Caenorhabditis elegans: one gene and its partner. The protein of the gene in region 1 purifies or fractionates together with the protein of each later gene. This does not show direct contact. Each region holds a gene or a part of one and is shown on either strand. Other genes may lie near its edges. The genes, in order: trpl-5 and slc-9B.1.

The links.
Region 2: the proteins of trpl-5 (region 1) and slc-9B.1 fractionate together in Caenorhabditis elegans (co-fractionation; one large-scale study listed by BioGRID). This does not show direct contact.

Annotation. Positions count from the first base shown.
Region 1 is NC_003280.10:2,084,245-2,092,969, forward strand, and holds trpl-5 (Ion_trans domain-containing protein), read right to left. Parts: upstream 6,393-8,725; 5' UTR 6,375-6,392; coding exon 6,231-6,374; intron 5,988-6,230; coding exon 5,894-5,987; intron 5,841-5,893; coding exon 5,741-5,840; intron 5,695-5,740; coding exon 5,548-5,694; intron 4,822-5,547; coding exon 4,581-4,821; intron 4,392-4,580; coding exon 4,308-4,391; intron 4,263-4,307; coding exon 4,086-4,262; intron 3,699-4,085; coding exon 3,372-3,698; intron 2,907-3,371; coding exon 2,828-2,906; intron 2,780-2,827; coding exon 2,667-2,779; 3' UTR 2,515-2,666; intron 2,468-2,514; 3' UTR 2,396-2,467; intron 2,347-2,395; 3' UTR 1,005-2,346; downstream 1-1,004. Other genes in the region: fbxc-49 (F-box C protein), read left to right, coding at 1-114, 160-295, 363-647; T16A1.10 (Transposase), read right to left, coding at 7,564-7,727, 7,779-7,785; fbxb-37 (F-box associated domain-containing protein), read right to left, coding at 8,607-8,725.
Region 2 is NC_003284.9:10,277,352-10,283,944, forward strand, and holds slc-9B.1 (Cation/H+ exchanger transmembrane domain-containing protein), read left to right. Parts: upstream 1-2,247; 5' UTR 2,248-2,281; coding exon 2,282-2,338; intron 2,339-2,386; coding exon 2,387-2,465; intron 2,466-2,512; coding exon 2,513-2,659; intron 2,660-3,509; coding exon 3,510-3,670; intron 3,671-3,714; coding exon 3,715-3,824; intron 3,825-3,905; coding exon 3,906-4,081; intron 4,082-4,127; coding exon 4,128-4,489; intron 4,490-4,531; coding exon 4,532-4,687; intron 4,688-4,801; coding exon 4,802-4,972; intron 4,973-5,026; coding exon 5,027-5,158; 3' UTR 5,159-5,491; downstream 5,492-6,593. Other genes in the region: F41E7.2 (Cation/H+ exchanger transmembrane domain-containing protein), read left to right, coding at 55-279, 355-459, 508-750; npr-6 (G-protein coupled receptors family 1 profile domain-containing protein), read right to left, coding at 5,800-5,894, 6,052-6,135, 6,184-6,257.

The DNA of each region.
Region 1 (8,725 bases):
CGTCACTTTAAAAGTGATTTTCTTCTTAACTCTCGCGAATTCCACGATGGCTTCCAGACCACTCACGTATCCAGCTTTAGTTTCTACAATTAAATACTTGGATCCAAATATCAGGTAAGACCATCAGCTTCTATAACCAAATTGACACGGAATTTTCAGATTTCAACTTGTAGCTAGGAATCCTTCACTCGAAAATCTCGGAAAATCTCAGACACTCATTATTGATGACCTTGTATTGGACCGCAATTCAATTTCTATAAATAATGTGGAATATAAGCTTGGCACCGAGAATAAGGTAAGATACTTTATTAGTTTTACTTATTATTCAAGTTAATGGGGTTTTTTAATGAATACGTTTTCAGTTCGACGAGGACCCGAAAACTCTGGCTATCCGGCAACTGGAAGGCAGACGCCAGTTGATCAATGTTAAATGGCTGAAGATTGAAGGAGAAGGCCAGATTCTCGACCTTCTTGAGCGTCTTCCCCAGTGCTTCCAGAGATTCAAGATGAAAATGATCTTCAATTGGTCGATGCAGCTCCACCAATTGATCGATCCTCGGAGTATTCCGTTGGACGGAATTTCCCTCAACGAAGCTTTATCACTGAATTCTCGGCCTTATCGACACATTGAGCAAGCAAGACTTTGAAGTACCAAGCCGTTGCTTCCGCACAGATGATGCTGATATGGTCAAAAATTTATACAAGCTGCTAAGCCTTCTCGCAGAAGGTCACGAGATGGTGTATTACTATGATGAAGAAGAAGTCGATAGTGACATTGAGGAAGAGGTAAATGGATTCCCAAATCTGATCGAATTTTGGTATGATGGTTCAATTGGTTTCCAAGCTAGAGCCGAGAATGATGGACACTTTATTAAAATTTCTATTGAGATATTTAATAGAGTTGAAAAAGACTTATTTGAACTTTTTATGGACTATTTTTAAGACGATTGAAATGAATCTTGTATTATTGACAGTGTTTTATCTAATGGGTACTTACATTACAGATCATTACAGATAATTTATAAATGAGGGAGAGCAAATAGTAAAAACATACATGTACGTAGATTTAAATTGTCAGCAGTTTTTGATTTAAAAACAGATGCATCAACTGGTTCAACTGGGGATATATATATATATATATATTGGATTGAATAAAATAAAACTTAAAATTTGACTGCTAAATTAAGGCATTCTCTGGCATTCTCCTCATCAATTACTCTATCACAATACTGATTGGTTTTCTCTTTTATTGTTTTCAGCGTGCTCACATCGAGTGTGTGCTTCTCGAAACCGCCGACAAGATCCATCAGTCCTTCCAGGACGCCAAATGACCTCTTGCATAAAAACTGCCCAATTTCCTTTTCAAGTTCCTTGGCCTGTGCCTCTTGTTGCTCTTGTGCATTTTGAGCATTTGGAGCTTTTTGAGCATTTTGGACATTTGGAGCATTTATATCATTTTGAGCATTTGGAGCATTTTGTGCAATCTGAGCATTTGGAGCATTAGGATCATTTTGTGCAATCTGAGCATTTGGAGCATTTCGGGCATTCTGGGCATTCTGAGAATTTTGAGCATTTCTAGTATTTTGAGAATTCTGGACATTTGGAGCATTTTGAGCATTTGGATCATTTTGAGCATTTTGGTCATTTGGAGCATTTTGGCCATTTTGGGCATTTGAATCATTTCTGTCAATTTGTACATTCTGGCCATTTGCATCGTTTGGAGCATTTTGGTCATTTTGTGCATTTTGAGCATTTGCATCATCTTTGCTATTTTGGGCATTTGGAGCATTTGGATCATTTTGGCCATTTTGTGCATTCTTGGCATTTGGATCATTTTGGCCATTTTTTGAATTTTGGGCATATTGGCCGTTTTGTGCATTCTGGGAATTCTGGACATTTGGATCATTTTGCCTATTTTGCCCATTTTGTGAATTCTGGGCATTTGGATCGTTTTTGTCATTTTGGCCATTTTGTGAATTCTGGACATTTGAAGCATTTTGGACATTTGGAGCATTTTGGACATTCTGAGCATTATGGGCATTCGGATCACTTTGTGCATTTTGGGCATTTGGATCGTTTTTGCCATTTTGTGCATTCTGAGCATTGGGATCATTCTGATCTTTTCGTTTCGAAGGTGTATGTTTTCTGACAACTCCCCACGGATGTCCCTCCATTTTTTCGATAATGTTTTTCCATATGTACTCTGAGAACTGTGTAACTCGTCCGGCATCTTTTTTGAGCCATTTTTGTATGCCCCACATGATCAGTAGGACCATACATGTTGAACATCTTAGAAGTATATAAATAAGTGACAGCGGAGGAGGCAGGTAGAGTTTTGATTCAATTCTGAAAATATTCACAGTACTTTTTGTTAGGTTACAGCAGATCCACTTACTTTGCCTCAAGTTCATATTTAAGGTATCCTTTGTAGTAAAGACTGTTCTCCGATTGTTTTTCGTATTCTTTTCTGTAATTGGATAGAATTTTATTTCAAGTTTCCAGAAAAAAATTCACGTTAACTGCGCAGTTAGCAAGTTAATCAGTAGAATCCCCGAAACAAAAATGTAGGTAAAAACCAAAAACGGCATAATTGTACTGCGAAATAGGCAACTGGCTTCCGCATATTCCATCTCGAAAAAATCCCAAAAAGTTTTGGTAAAATGGCTTCAGTTGGACAGTATCCCGATGCGATCTTCATCTTGTACTTCTCCGAATATTTCAAACTTTCCAGGTAGACTAAGTGTGTAGATGAATGTGCTGTTATGTACTAGGAGAGTTCCTGGAAGAGTTTAGGATTTTCAGTCTGCATTCGGAGCCGTTAACTTACTGGAGAGGCTGACGTGAGTCACTGCTAGGACGAACCAAAACGTACAGAATATCAATATGAACATTCCAACAGTTTTCATCTGAAATTTAGGTTTACAGATAGGTAGGCATGTTTTCTGGGTATGCCTGCCAGCGAGGCTAATAAGCACACCGTCTATTCAATATTCACAGGTGGAGTAACTCAAGTTTGACTCAAAAAACTAACTTTCATAATTCATTGTCTTGAAAACTAGGGCTTCCATGGAGGCAGGCGAGGTTTCAGGTCCTGACGCCTGCTCCAAACCTGCCTGCCTGACGCCTGCTTTATCGCCACCGCATAGTGCGAAATTGTAATTCTTGGCAGCGCCCGACAGTTTCTGGGTTCCGCGTCACACTATACGATGCAGCTTGCGGCGCGAGGTAGGCGGAGGTTGCCGCAAGGCTGGCAGGCATTTTGGCGCCTACATGGAAGCCTTTTAACTAAATTAAAAATTTTGATAAGTTAAAAAAGTCTTTTGGGACAATTTCGCGTCTAACCAACCAATAAAATATTAAAAATTGCTCACCATTTTCTTGAAAATGTGCACAAAAAACCCAATAGACTGAATTGAATGGAAGAATCGAAGACTTGAGATCGTCGCAATAGTGAACAGAGAGCAGTATAAAAGTTCCAGCATAAGAGGCAAAATCACCCATCCTCCCGACCAAAAGTTCCTGGGCTTGCTGGGAAGACCCGCAAAAACCACGAAGCGAATTGCCTCTAAACTGAGAAGTGGAACTACTAAACAAACTCTCCAAAACGCGAGCTTCTTCAAACGAACGTAGCGTTGAACACTGGAAAAGTAGAAGCCAAATGGATTGGAGCCGTGTTTCAGTTTGAAATCGTCAAAAATCTGAAATCGGCAATGTTTGTATTTTCGGGCAATTTTTGGGCAAGTTTCCTTTTTTTGAGGTTTTTGCCAGACTATTCGTTTTTTTTGTTCTGAGCACAGGACGTTTTTCGGCTTTCTTTGAGATTGTGCAATTTTAGTTTTTTTTTTCTCGTTTTTTAAATTCTTGATATTTCTGGAATTTTTTTCCTCTCTTCCCTATGCATAAACCTAAGCCTAAGTCAAGACCCAAGCAAAAGCCTAATGCTAAGACTAATCCTAATCTTAAGGCTAAGCTTAAGTCTAAGTCTAAGCCTAAACCTTAGCCTAATCTTGAGCCTAGGCCTAAGCTTGAGCCTGAACCTAAGCTGAGGCCTAAGCCTTTACCTAAGCCTAAGTCTGTGAGCTTACCAAATGATCAATTGACTTGATAATTGTCATAGACACTTGTGCTATGAGCACCGCGGGAACAAACAGAAAAGGGAGCATTTCCCAGAAGCCAAGACTACTTGTACTGTCGTAACTGCTGTAAAACGGATAACGGCATAGCATATAGGCGAACATGAGTATATAAGCAAGTCGAAATGTCTGGAAAAAATTGAACGAAATTTCTTTGGAAACTTTAATTATTACCCAATTCAGCGTGTGTTTGATCGTTTTCACGGCCTTATTTCGAGTCTCCATTAAGTGTAAGCATGGCCTGAGAGATAGGAACTTCTGTAAAAAGATTGACACATTTTCAAATTTAACAGCACATCATTTCAACTAATAATTACAGAACTCCAAAAAACTGAGCCGTGTTCAAGCGCCCGACAATTTCAGGGCTGCGCGGATTTTTATTGGCAACGCTCTTGAGTGGCAGAGCCCGGAAAATGTCGGGACACAAGAAAGAAAAAATACTCTTACCCTTGCTTTTGCCTTATACGCGATCGCCATGATTTCCCGACTTTGGTCAAACTTCCGGTTTAGATAGTCATGATATGGCCCAACTTTCTCTTCTGATTTCTCAGTTGTATTAGTTTTTCCTTTTGTATCCTTTCCAAATTCAGACTTATAATCCGCTTGCAGAACTATTGCAACTCGATCAGCTCCGCTTTCTCCGCTGTTCAAATGGCTCACAATTTTGCAGGCAATGTCCTCGAGTTCACTGAAAGTTTAGTTGTGAGTAGAAAATTAGAACATCTGAAGGGTGGGTGGCAAACGATTTTTTCTGGCAAATTGACAGACTGCCGGAATTTAAAGTTTGAAAATTTTAAGAAAATTGGCAGACCGGCAAGTTGCCGGAATTGAAAATTTAAAGAAAATTGGCAAACCGGCAAGTTGCCGGAATTGAACATTTCCGGCAAATCGGCAAGTTGCCGGAATTGAAAATTTCGGGAAACTTGCCGGAATTAAAGATTTCCGGCAAATCGGCAAATTTGCAAACTGCCGGAATTGAAAATTTTAAGAAAATTGGCAAACCGGCAAGTTGCCGGAATTGAACATTTTCGGCAAATCGGCGAATCGGCAAATTGCCCAAAATGAAAAATTCCTGAAAATCGGCAAACCGGCAATTTACCGGAATTGAAAACTTCCGGCACTTCAGCAAACCGGCAAGTTGCCGGAGTTGAAAATTGCGACAAATCGGCAAGTTGTCGGAGTTGAAGTTTCCGGCAAATCGGCAAATGGGCAAATTGCCGGAATTCAAAATTTCCGGCAAATCGACAAATCGGCAACTTGCAAAAATGAAAAATTCCGGAAAATCGGAAAACCCGCAAATTGCCGGAATTAAACATTTCCTGCCAATCGGCAAAACTGCAAACCACCAAAAATGAAAATTTCTGACAAGTCGGCAGACTTGAAATTTGCCGCTTTGCCAAATTATATCCCTTACTTTTTGAGTTTCTCGTAGACTTCTCCATCTTCATATCCGGAATCCTTGCCCAAAAATTTCTTCTGCATAACGTGCGCTATATAGCACATGACCATTATTGTGTGCAAAGGATGATGGCATTCGCTCAGAAGATCTTTCTCTACGTACCTGAAAATGAGGTGATAGGTAGGTAGGCAGGCGTAGGTACACTCACTTTGTGGGATTTCCGGGTTGGTTATCTAGCGCGAACCTTCGGCCGAAGAATGCTGCGATAATCATTGCAGCAGAGTTTTTGTCGTTGTTATATATGGTTACTGAAGACTTTAGTTATATAGTTTAAGTTATCAAGATCAAATACAAAAATTACCAATTTTGATATTGAGATCCAGAAGTAGAATATTCTCAATTTCATTAAAAATTCTGTCAGCTCCTTTTATTCCATGCGCCTTGAATACGTTGTGCTGAAAAAAATTTCTAGGGTGTTCTAGAACATTTCAGTAACTTTATAGTCCTTATTGGGATTTTTTCAAAAACACTATCATGTTCCAAAACTATGGGAAATGCTTGAAAATTCCGAGATAATTCTGAAAACTTCTGTTAGGTTCCAGATTTTTCTAGAATGGTTTCTAGAAATAATTTGGACAAATTTTAGCAATTTTTTATTTTTTTAATTCTAAAAAATAAATTTCGAAAAAATAGCCCACCTCTTGTTCGTACGCTTCCAACAACTTACGAATAGTCTCCCTATTCTTAGCATCCGCTTCAATAGTTATTTTAGTAGTTTCCGAAGATAGCAAGGCTTGCGACGCGGATTGTTGTTGAAAACTGGAGCTTCTAGAGCCTGACATGTCCACAGAGCATCGAAGCAACTAAAATAAAAAATTGATGTGCTCTTTTTAAGCATTAATAAAGTGAGCAAGTTCCTCAGGAAGCATCTACAACAGAGACACACATCTATTACGAAATTAGCAGCAGGAATTTTCTGAAATTATCAGCAAATGTTTAACTATAGCAAGTTTATAAAGTGTTGTGAAACAATGCACACTTGATAAGGACAAAAACTTCAACAAACGGTTTTCTTATCAGCACGATAATTTCTAACACTTTGTGCTTTGGTTTATGAGAGAGGAACTCCAATCAGAAATGATGAAACATTCTGTTCAAGAGAGCTGATAGGATTAGACTGAGTAGATCAATTCTGAACAATCCTATGAAGAAGGGCTCTCTTCGATTTTCCCGTAATATAGAATTTGGAATTTTATGTTTGTTATCGGTTTCTTCTCACGAGAGAAGTCTTTGAAGAAGCCGGTAGATTTGGGGTTCTCATGTTGATATTCCGATAGAAGAGTTTTAGTTATGATCTCTCCAAAAAATTTAGCTGCCCCGGTCAAGTTTCTGCAAAGTAATGAAGTTTTGAAAATTCGGCCCAAAAAAATTCGAAAATTATTTTTATCTCATGACGCGGACAAGCTACAAATGTCTAATTAGGCTTGTTCGAAAGATAAAAAATTTCTCTACACATCTACAAGTTGAACTTACAACTTAGTTATTCAAATTCGAAAGTTGTGAGCCGGGGAACTATAATAAGCAACGTTTCACACTAAAAAAAAGCCCAAAAAAATTCGGAAATGATTTTTATCTCCTGACGCGGACAAGCTACAAATGTAGTCAAATTGATTGTGGTTATTTCCTGTACAATGAAAATATTGTTATTTCATAGTAGAAGGATTCATCTGGCATTTCATCAAAAAACAATTATATAAACAATCTCAATTACAAAATTTATTCACCACAGAAAATTTATATTACGCCACAAGAGATACGCCACGACGCGAAGATCTTTGCCATTTTCGTCCTGTGCTTGCGATAGTACAGCACCAAAATCTAATCATAAATCGTCTGTTTCGATCACGAACGGTTTCCCAAAAACAGGTGCCACCAGGATTGGTCTTGTAGTTAACATCCTTCTTCGTCAGTTCAGATCGTAGTTGATCCACAAAGTTTTTGATGAATCGTCGATAGAAAGACAAACATCCATCACATTCTTCGGTTGGGGAAACTTCGAAACAGCTTTAATTTTCTCAGGATCGGTTTGTATTCCATCTTTCGATACGATGTATGTTCGAACTTCGACTTTTCCAATTTCAACTTCATTCCTGACTGGAGTATGGCTTCCAGGACTTCTTCAATGGTGAAAATTTCTGAAAATTTACACTAGTATAATAAAAAATAAACTTGAAAAAAAAACTTACCACTCATTTTGAAGAACCTCTGAAGAAATTAAGCATAAAATCAATAAAAAAAGGGACAGCCATTCAGTAGGCCGTCTTGGGGAAATAATGAACGGGAGAAAGAGGTGGGAGGGGGTGACCCCGCCACAACAGATGGCAAATATTACAACAAGGTCCCTGGGGAGTGCACAGACTATTTACCTTAACCATCTTGGTCTCCGCTTTCCTCAAAAAAATTATTAGAGCGCGCTTGCTAGCCGTCGCGTTTCTGTGCGTGCGTACGTGGAGTCAGGATGTCCCATCATAACAAAAATCTGGTTTTGAAAATACAGAAAGAATTAAAAGAAGCTCAAAAATGAGAATTTGCAAAAAAAAAGAGAATCTGTGGGAAAAACCATGGAAATAAAATCAAGCTTAGTGCGCATGCCAGCGCGGGCCTTCGCAGATGTCGGCTGCTTACTTTAGAAAATCCTAACCGTCCTGGAATACAGTACAAAATTATATTTAATTTTTATCTATTTTTCACAAAAACATTTTAAATAAATAAAAATAAACACTTCACATGAAACCTTTAAAAAACATTTATTCATTTTAATTTATTTTAATATTACCAACTCATCATCCACTTGGCATTACAGATCATTACAGAAAATTTATAAATGAAGGAAAACAAATATTAAAAACGTACATATATGGAGATTTATAATGTCAGAAGTTTTTGATTTGAAAAAAAGAGACAACAGTGGAGCATCAACTGGATCAACTGGGGATATACTTAAATTTTGACTGCTCAATTAACTAGGCATTTCAGAAAAGAAATTAATGAGATTTGAGTTTTTATTGAATTTTCTACTGATATATCTTAAAAGCCGGCAAGTCTGTTAAAACCACCGGCGAGACACACATGACAAACGAAATGTAATCGGTTTTTGATAATAAGACAGTCGCTTTTGTTCCGTCGTTTCTCT
Region 2 (6,593 bases), on another chromosome or scaffold:
AAATGTAGTGAATAACTACAACAATCATTAAAGACTCTAGTTTTTACGGTTCAGATGTCAGCTGAGAATTGGAAAACAGCGTTTATCATCATAGCAGTTGGAAGTTCTTTTCGGTTGATTTCTGCAATGATCTTATCGTATTATGGTCACTTTAATATCTACGAACAAATTATTTTGGCATTGACCTTAATGCCAAAAGCGACTGTTCAGTGTGCACTGGCCCCGTCACTCATTTTTATGACAAACGGTTTCCCGGAACTCCGCGAGCAAACCAAACTAGTAAGATATACATATTATTGGATTATAAAAGAAGGAATAGCGGGAATTGTTTGATTAATCCTTTTTTATTTGCAGATCATCAACATTTGCATTACCGCAGTGATGGTGACAAGTCCTATTGTGGAGATATTATTAGATGTTTTGGCCCCAAGAATATTGAAAATTAAAGAAGGAACTTCGGTATTTAATCTTTAATCCAATTCACCAAAATGACAGATATTTTTTTAGACTTACAACAGGAACATTACCAACTCTACTATTCTTGACGAAATGGATCCAAATCTAGAGCTGAAGAAGACATCGTCATCGAATAGCACCAACAACAGCAGAACCAATCTTAATAATAGGATCATCTACGAGTTAAACCCAAATTTTGTGCCGATCAGTATCGAGAACGGTTATTCTCGAGCTTCATATCAACACTCTAATAACACAAAAACTTACGCAAGCGGGAATCGGATCAATAAGTGATTGGAGTTAATATTTTTAAACGAAAACATTTTCAACAGTTTGTTGAAAAGTGCATTATTGTTGCTATATTCCCGATATTATTCCTTTTTGTTTTTATAAAACATTCAAACTCGACATATTGTAAAGTTAAAATCTCAAGCCATATTGAACATATGTTTTGAATATAAACATTATGTTTCGAATAAAACACCGTTTTAAAAATATTTGCATTTGTCTTCAATTGCCAAACGGAGAAATACCGAAATCATTTAATAAACTTGTATTTGATTATTTTACCAATTGGTGCAGAATTTGTAGAAAATATATTGTGTAACCCTAAAATTACTTTCATGATAATCTTTTTGCCAGATATATGCAACTAAATTTTCAGAAGCGTTCTGTTTTCCTAATAACTTTTCAGTCGAATTTTGAACAAGATTATTGTTTCATTGATCAGTGATGTCATTTTGCAAAATAAAACACAAAAATCATGCGGTCATTTGCAGTTAAATCTTTGTAAACAAAAAGATCATTCTATTGTTCTCTATATAAGGAACTAATTAAACCAATAAAAATGTTTTTTCGTGTCGTTAAGGTAACTATATTATTTTTACATTTTATCTGTTATTGTAGTAATGTGTTTTGCTAAATTTTAAAATGATTCTCACAACTTTTCTTCATAATTTTTTGGTAATACTCAAAGGGAAATTCTTTTATACTTCAAAGTTACTGTTATGTACTGGAGGTGGAACGAGGAGAGAATACGAGTAGTTTTTTACATTCCTAACTAATAAATAAATAGAAAGTTAAAGAAAGTTAAAAAAAGAACTCACGTTACAAGGTCTTTGTATCCGCGAGAAGTTTTAAAAAAATTTAAAAATAAACAAAAATAAGTTTCTCAGAAGGAAATAGGGCGGTCTATAATACAAATAATATTGATTATTACTAGAATATTATTTATTTGAATTAGCATTACGCTCTATTTTTTTAATTATAGAGTGCACTTTAGTTTTGGGTCCAAAATAATAAACAATGAAACCCCTGAACTTCGTTCTTTCTGACTCCTGTTTTTTTTCATTTGTTTCTTTTCACACACTTTTCAGACTGACTCGACTGACTCATAGTCTTTCCGAAATTCTGAAGACTTGAAATAAAATTTAAACTAGAATACCGGTGCGTCAACGTTAAAGGATTTGCATAAACGGCAAGTAGCAACATTGAATAATAGTATATAATATGCAAAGGCGAAGAGGCGTCATGCGTTATTGAATAAGTGTATCAGATTAAACGGTAAGCACCCCCTATCTCACTCTCCGAGAAAGTGAAGATAGTTAGTTGAAAGTTAGTAACGGTGTGTGGAAGCGACATTGCAAACACGCCGGCTCTCCTCCCGTTTATTCCGTTTGCCGATTTGGGGCTCATTTGACAGTTCGATCACACACAACCATTCATCTTTTTCTTTCATTATACACTTCTCTTTTTTGTCCATTTGATCTTTTAACAATTTGTTAACTTCAGTTATCAAACAATCACGTGGTGATCAAAACAAATCATGCATTGCGTGGCAAGATTGCACAACACGCTACACAACTTTTTTAATAACAGAGAGGTTAAATTTATAACTTTTCATGTGTAATTTAAAACTATTGTTTTTCAGATAAACTCAATAACTACAACAATACTTATATTCATTTCTCTGTACATTTCTATTATCACTCTCTTAGGTGAAAACTTTTGTAAGTAAAGGTGTTTGAAATCTTTCAAACATAGATTTCAATTTCAGTGAATCCACTTGCCGATCATGTAAATCCAGTCAACGCTACTAATGAAGATGTGACCGTGCGATCGATATTTGTAATATTTATTCTTCTTGTTGCTGGAATTTTTGCAGCAAAAATTTCAAAAGCATTGAGGCTTCCTCCACTATTCGGTATGTGTTTTTTGGTTAATACTGATAATTACTAGGATAAACTATTTGCATGCATTTTTAATCGATTGAGTTATTGATTCTTCAATACCAATATATTTTTTATACGAGTTTATGCCTGAATTTCCAATTAAACCCTAAATGTAGTTTAAGACTTAGTATTAAGATAATCTGCTAAACAACAATTGCATAAACTAGGGCTAAAGGCACACGTTTTTTTTTTAACATGTGGGCCCTGTCCCAATTTCAGTGATTGCTGAAATTGCCAACATTTTATGATGTAAAACACAAATCAAATGTAATCCAAACTCTAAAATATACATTGAAATACAGTATCTACCGGAAAACATTTAATACCTCGTATCACATTTATGCGAACGGATGGTACGCCGAAAAAAAGCATGAAATACTTAATTTAGTCCTTTGAATATATTGAGATTGGTTGACGTACACCAGGATGCATTAAAAGTTTAATAGACCTGTCTGGTAACAGTAAGTAGATTGAAGAGATGCACGGAAAAAACTAGGGCTGTACAACCGGACGTCCGGTCGTCCGAACCGGACGCACATGCGTCCGGTTGGGGGTAGCTATCCACGACGGCCGACAATTTCCGAGTTTCGCGACTCACTATAAAATTGCTGATTAAGAATAGTGAGTGGCGAAACTCGGAAATTGTCGGCCGCCGTGGAAACCTACCCCAAAACCGGACGCAGTGCGTCCGGTGGTGTCAAAATCGGACGACCGGACGCCGATTTGTACAGCCCTAGAAAAAACAACACATGGTTTAAAAATGATTAAAAATGATGTAGTAAGAAGAACAATTAATTCTGCACATCTTTGCATTTTTTCCAGGATGTCTTGCACTTGGAATAATTATCAAAAACATCACTGTCTTTGACCAATTTTTTGTCTTCCCTCCATTTGTCGAAACCATGATTCGAAAAGTCGCTTTGGTCATGATTATTGTTCGTTGGGGGCTTGCAACAGATATTCATTTTCTTTATGAAAATGCTGTGAGTTGGTGTTTTGCATCTACAAACTATAACTATTTTTTCAGCTCATGCCAGTCACCATTGGTCTCGTTACAGCAATTGGAGAAATAATTGCAGTCACAATTGCATCATACTTCATTTTGAATATTTCATTTGTGATGTCGATTTTCTGCGCGTAGGCTTTCAATTTCCTTTTTCACTTTTTCATCAACAATTTTTATTTTATTTTTATCAACAATATTTTTTCATAATTCAGATTAATTCTTGTGACGGTGTCCCCTGCTGTGACCGTTCCAGCCATGATCAACTTCAAAGAAAAACAATTGGGGTCTCTTAAAAGAATTCCTGAAAATATTTTGGCCATTTGTTGCGTCGACAATCTTTTCTGCGTTATTTTATTCATGGTTCTTTCGTCCATTATTTTTACCGATGGTAAGTGTTTGAAACTTGCTCAATTATCACTGAATGTTGATTCAAGCCCCAATAGCTACTACAATCCTTCTCAACGCTGGAAGTATTGTATTTGGATGCATCGGCGGAATTGTACTTGGATGGATTCTGTGGAGATTCCCAAGATCAGATGCTCCACACACTCAATTCGCAAGAATAACTCTTCTTGGTACTATTTGTATTGCAGTTGTTATTGGAACTTATCTTATCAAGTACTCCTGCTCTGGTTTTCTCGCCGCTCTCATCACTAGTGCAATGAGTGCAATGCAATGGAAAGCAGATAATAAAGAGAAGTTAGAATGCGTTGAGTCTACATATAAATACATATGGGATTCCTTCGCGCTTCCACTTCTTTTTATCTGCCTCGGAATGAAGTTTGACTGCTCAACTGTAAGTAGTTAGAGATTGATGTTTTCAAAGTGTCATTTTCAGCTGACATGGGAGATTGTGTTTTTGTGCATTGCTGTTATTGCAATTGGTCTGTTAGTAAGAACGATTTTGGTAATGTTGGTAACACTCTCCTCACACATTAATTTCAAAGAGCAAATTGTTGTTGCTCTGAGCTTGCTTCCAAGAGCCACTTTCCAGGTTTGTGCACAGTTTTTTTTGGTATCATGTTTTTTTCACTCTATTAGTATGAAACACATAAAATTTCAAAATGTTAAACACAGTGGAACTTTAGCTGAAAATTTGCTAATTTAGGCCGACCTTGCTCCAACTCTACTTTTGATGGCTACACCATTCCCAGACATGGCCAAGGATGCAGCACTCATCTTAAAAGCTGCCATTTTATCTGTTCTAATCACAGCTCCTATTTTTGATATTCTTCTCAATCTTGTTGGATCTAAATGTCTCTCTCAATACAATCCACAGGTAGCGTTCTCACTCCCATTTTTGAAATGCAATGTGAAACAAATTTTCATTCAGGATGCGCCGGCAATTGAGAAAAATTTTGACAAAACCTATATGAATGGTGATCATGTTGATGAAACCATCTATGCCGCCCGTCCGAAGACATATTCGGAATACCGCAGTGAAGCTGTTATCGAAAGATATTAAAAATTTACCCAAACTTTTTAGATTTTATTACAATTTTCCTCTGAAAAAAAAAACAAAATAATTCCTAATTTCCCATATTTATAATATTATTATCAAGTCAATTCAAATTCAATTTAAATGACCATAACCAGGAAAAGACATTTCACCAATTTTCCAATTCGATTTATTTTACTTATCCACATCTACCAATTTCCCGTTCCAGCATGTTTTTAAATATGTCATTCTGAAATTTCGTCATGATTCTGTTATACCCTTCTTACTTGAACCATATCTGATCTTATCAACCACACCAGTTGAACCAATTTTTTGTAACCAATATGAAATTTCATTTACAAATATTTTATCAAAATGTGACAAGAAGAAGAAACAAAAGATAAATCAGCATCAAGCAAGATTTGTGCAAATACAGCAGTGCATAAGTTAAGTATAACCACATAGTTTAGATCAGGACAGGTTTGATCAGAGATTTAGCTGAAAAAATCTTAGGAAAGAAAAACAATATGACCAAAAAAATAAAATGTTGAATAAGTGTTTTTATGAAAATTACATATGAAGGCAAGTGGAAAGCGGATAAATGTACTGGCAAGTGACATGACTAAAAGCGACTTTTGTTCTGACTTTCCGGTTTTGTATTGAGCGGCTTAAAGCAGAAGCGTCTGACAACTTGATCCGTTCTCAGGCTCATCGAGATACACGATACTGCGCTGCGGCTCCACTGCAGTTTGAAGTGGACTCTCTGAATCTGTTTCTAAAGATTGCTGGTTTGTTGAAAAGTTCACTGACAACGAGTGCATGCAGGGAATGAATGGCTTCCTATTCTTCGTTGGATGTCGGGTGTAAAAGTTCTTAACGAAGAATAACTAAGGATCAAACAACATAAAAGTAAAACTCACCAGAAATCACCGTAACAGGCTGTTCCTCCACTTTTTTTTTTCGGTTTGCACGTCGAAACGGGTTAGTTATCATAGCGGTGCGTTCTAAAAAAAAAGCTAAGCAAAAATAACTTCAAATTTATCAGGTTTTACCAGTGATGACGCGAATTGGACCAGTTCCAGGACGACGCGCAAACAAGCAGGGAACAACTTTTGCGAACTCCTCACTGAAAATGAGCATTGCAAGAAAATGAAAATTAAATAATTCAATTTATTGAATTTAATTTAATTGAATTTAATTGAATTTTGAACTGTGCAAATTTTTTAAATAATCCTAAATTTACCAAAAAGTGTCTTTTTTTTTAGTTTAATCTGTTTCTAATTATAAGAAGAAACAGTGTCACGAGAGGAAATTTTATTGAGTATTTATAAAAAATAAATTTTTAATAAAATAAATGAGAACTGAACACACAAATGCAGTCTAAGATAAAACTTCTTGACTTTTTATCAATTGTATTTTCTAGCACATGTTTACGTATCAAATTTTATAACTTGTATTTTCA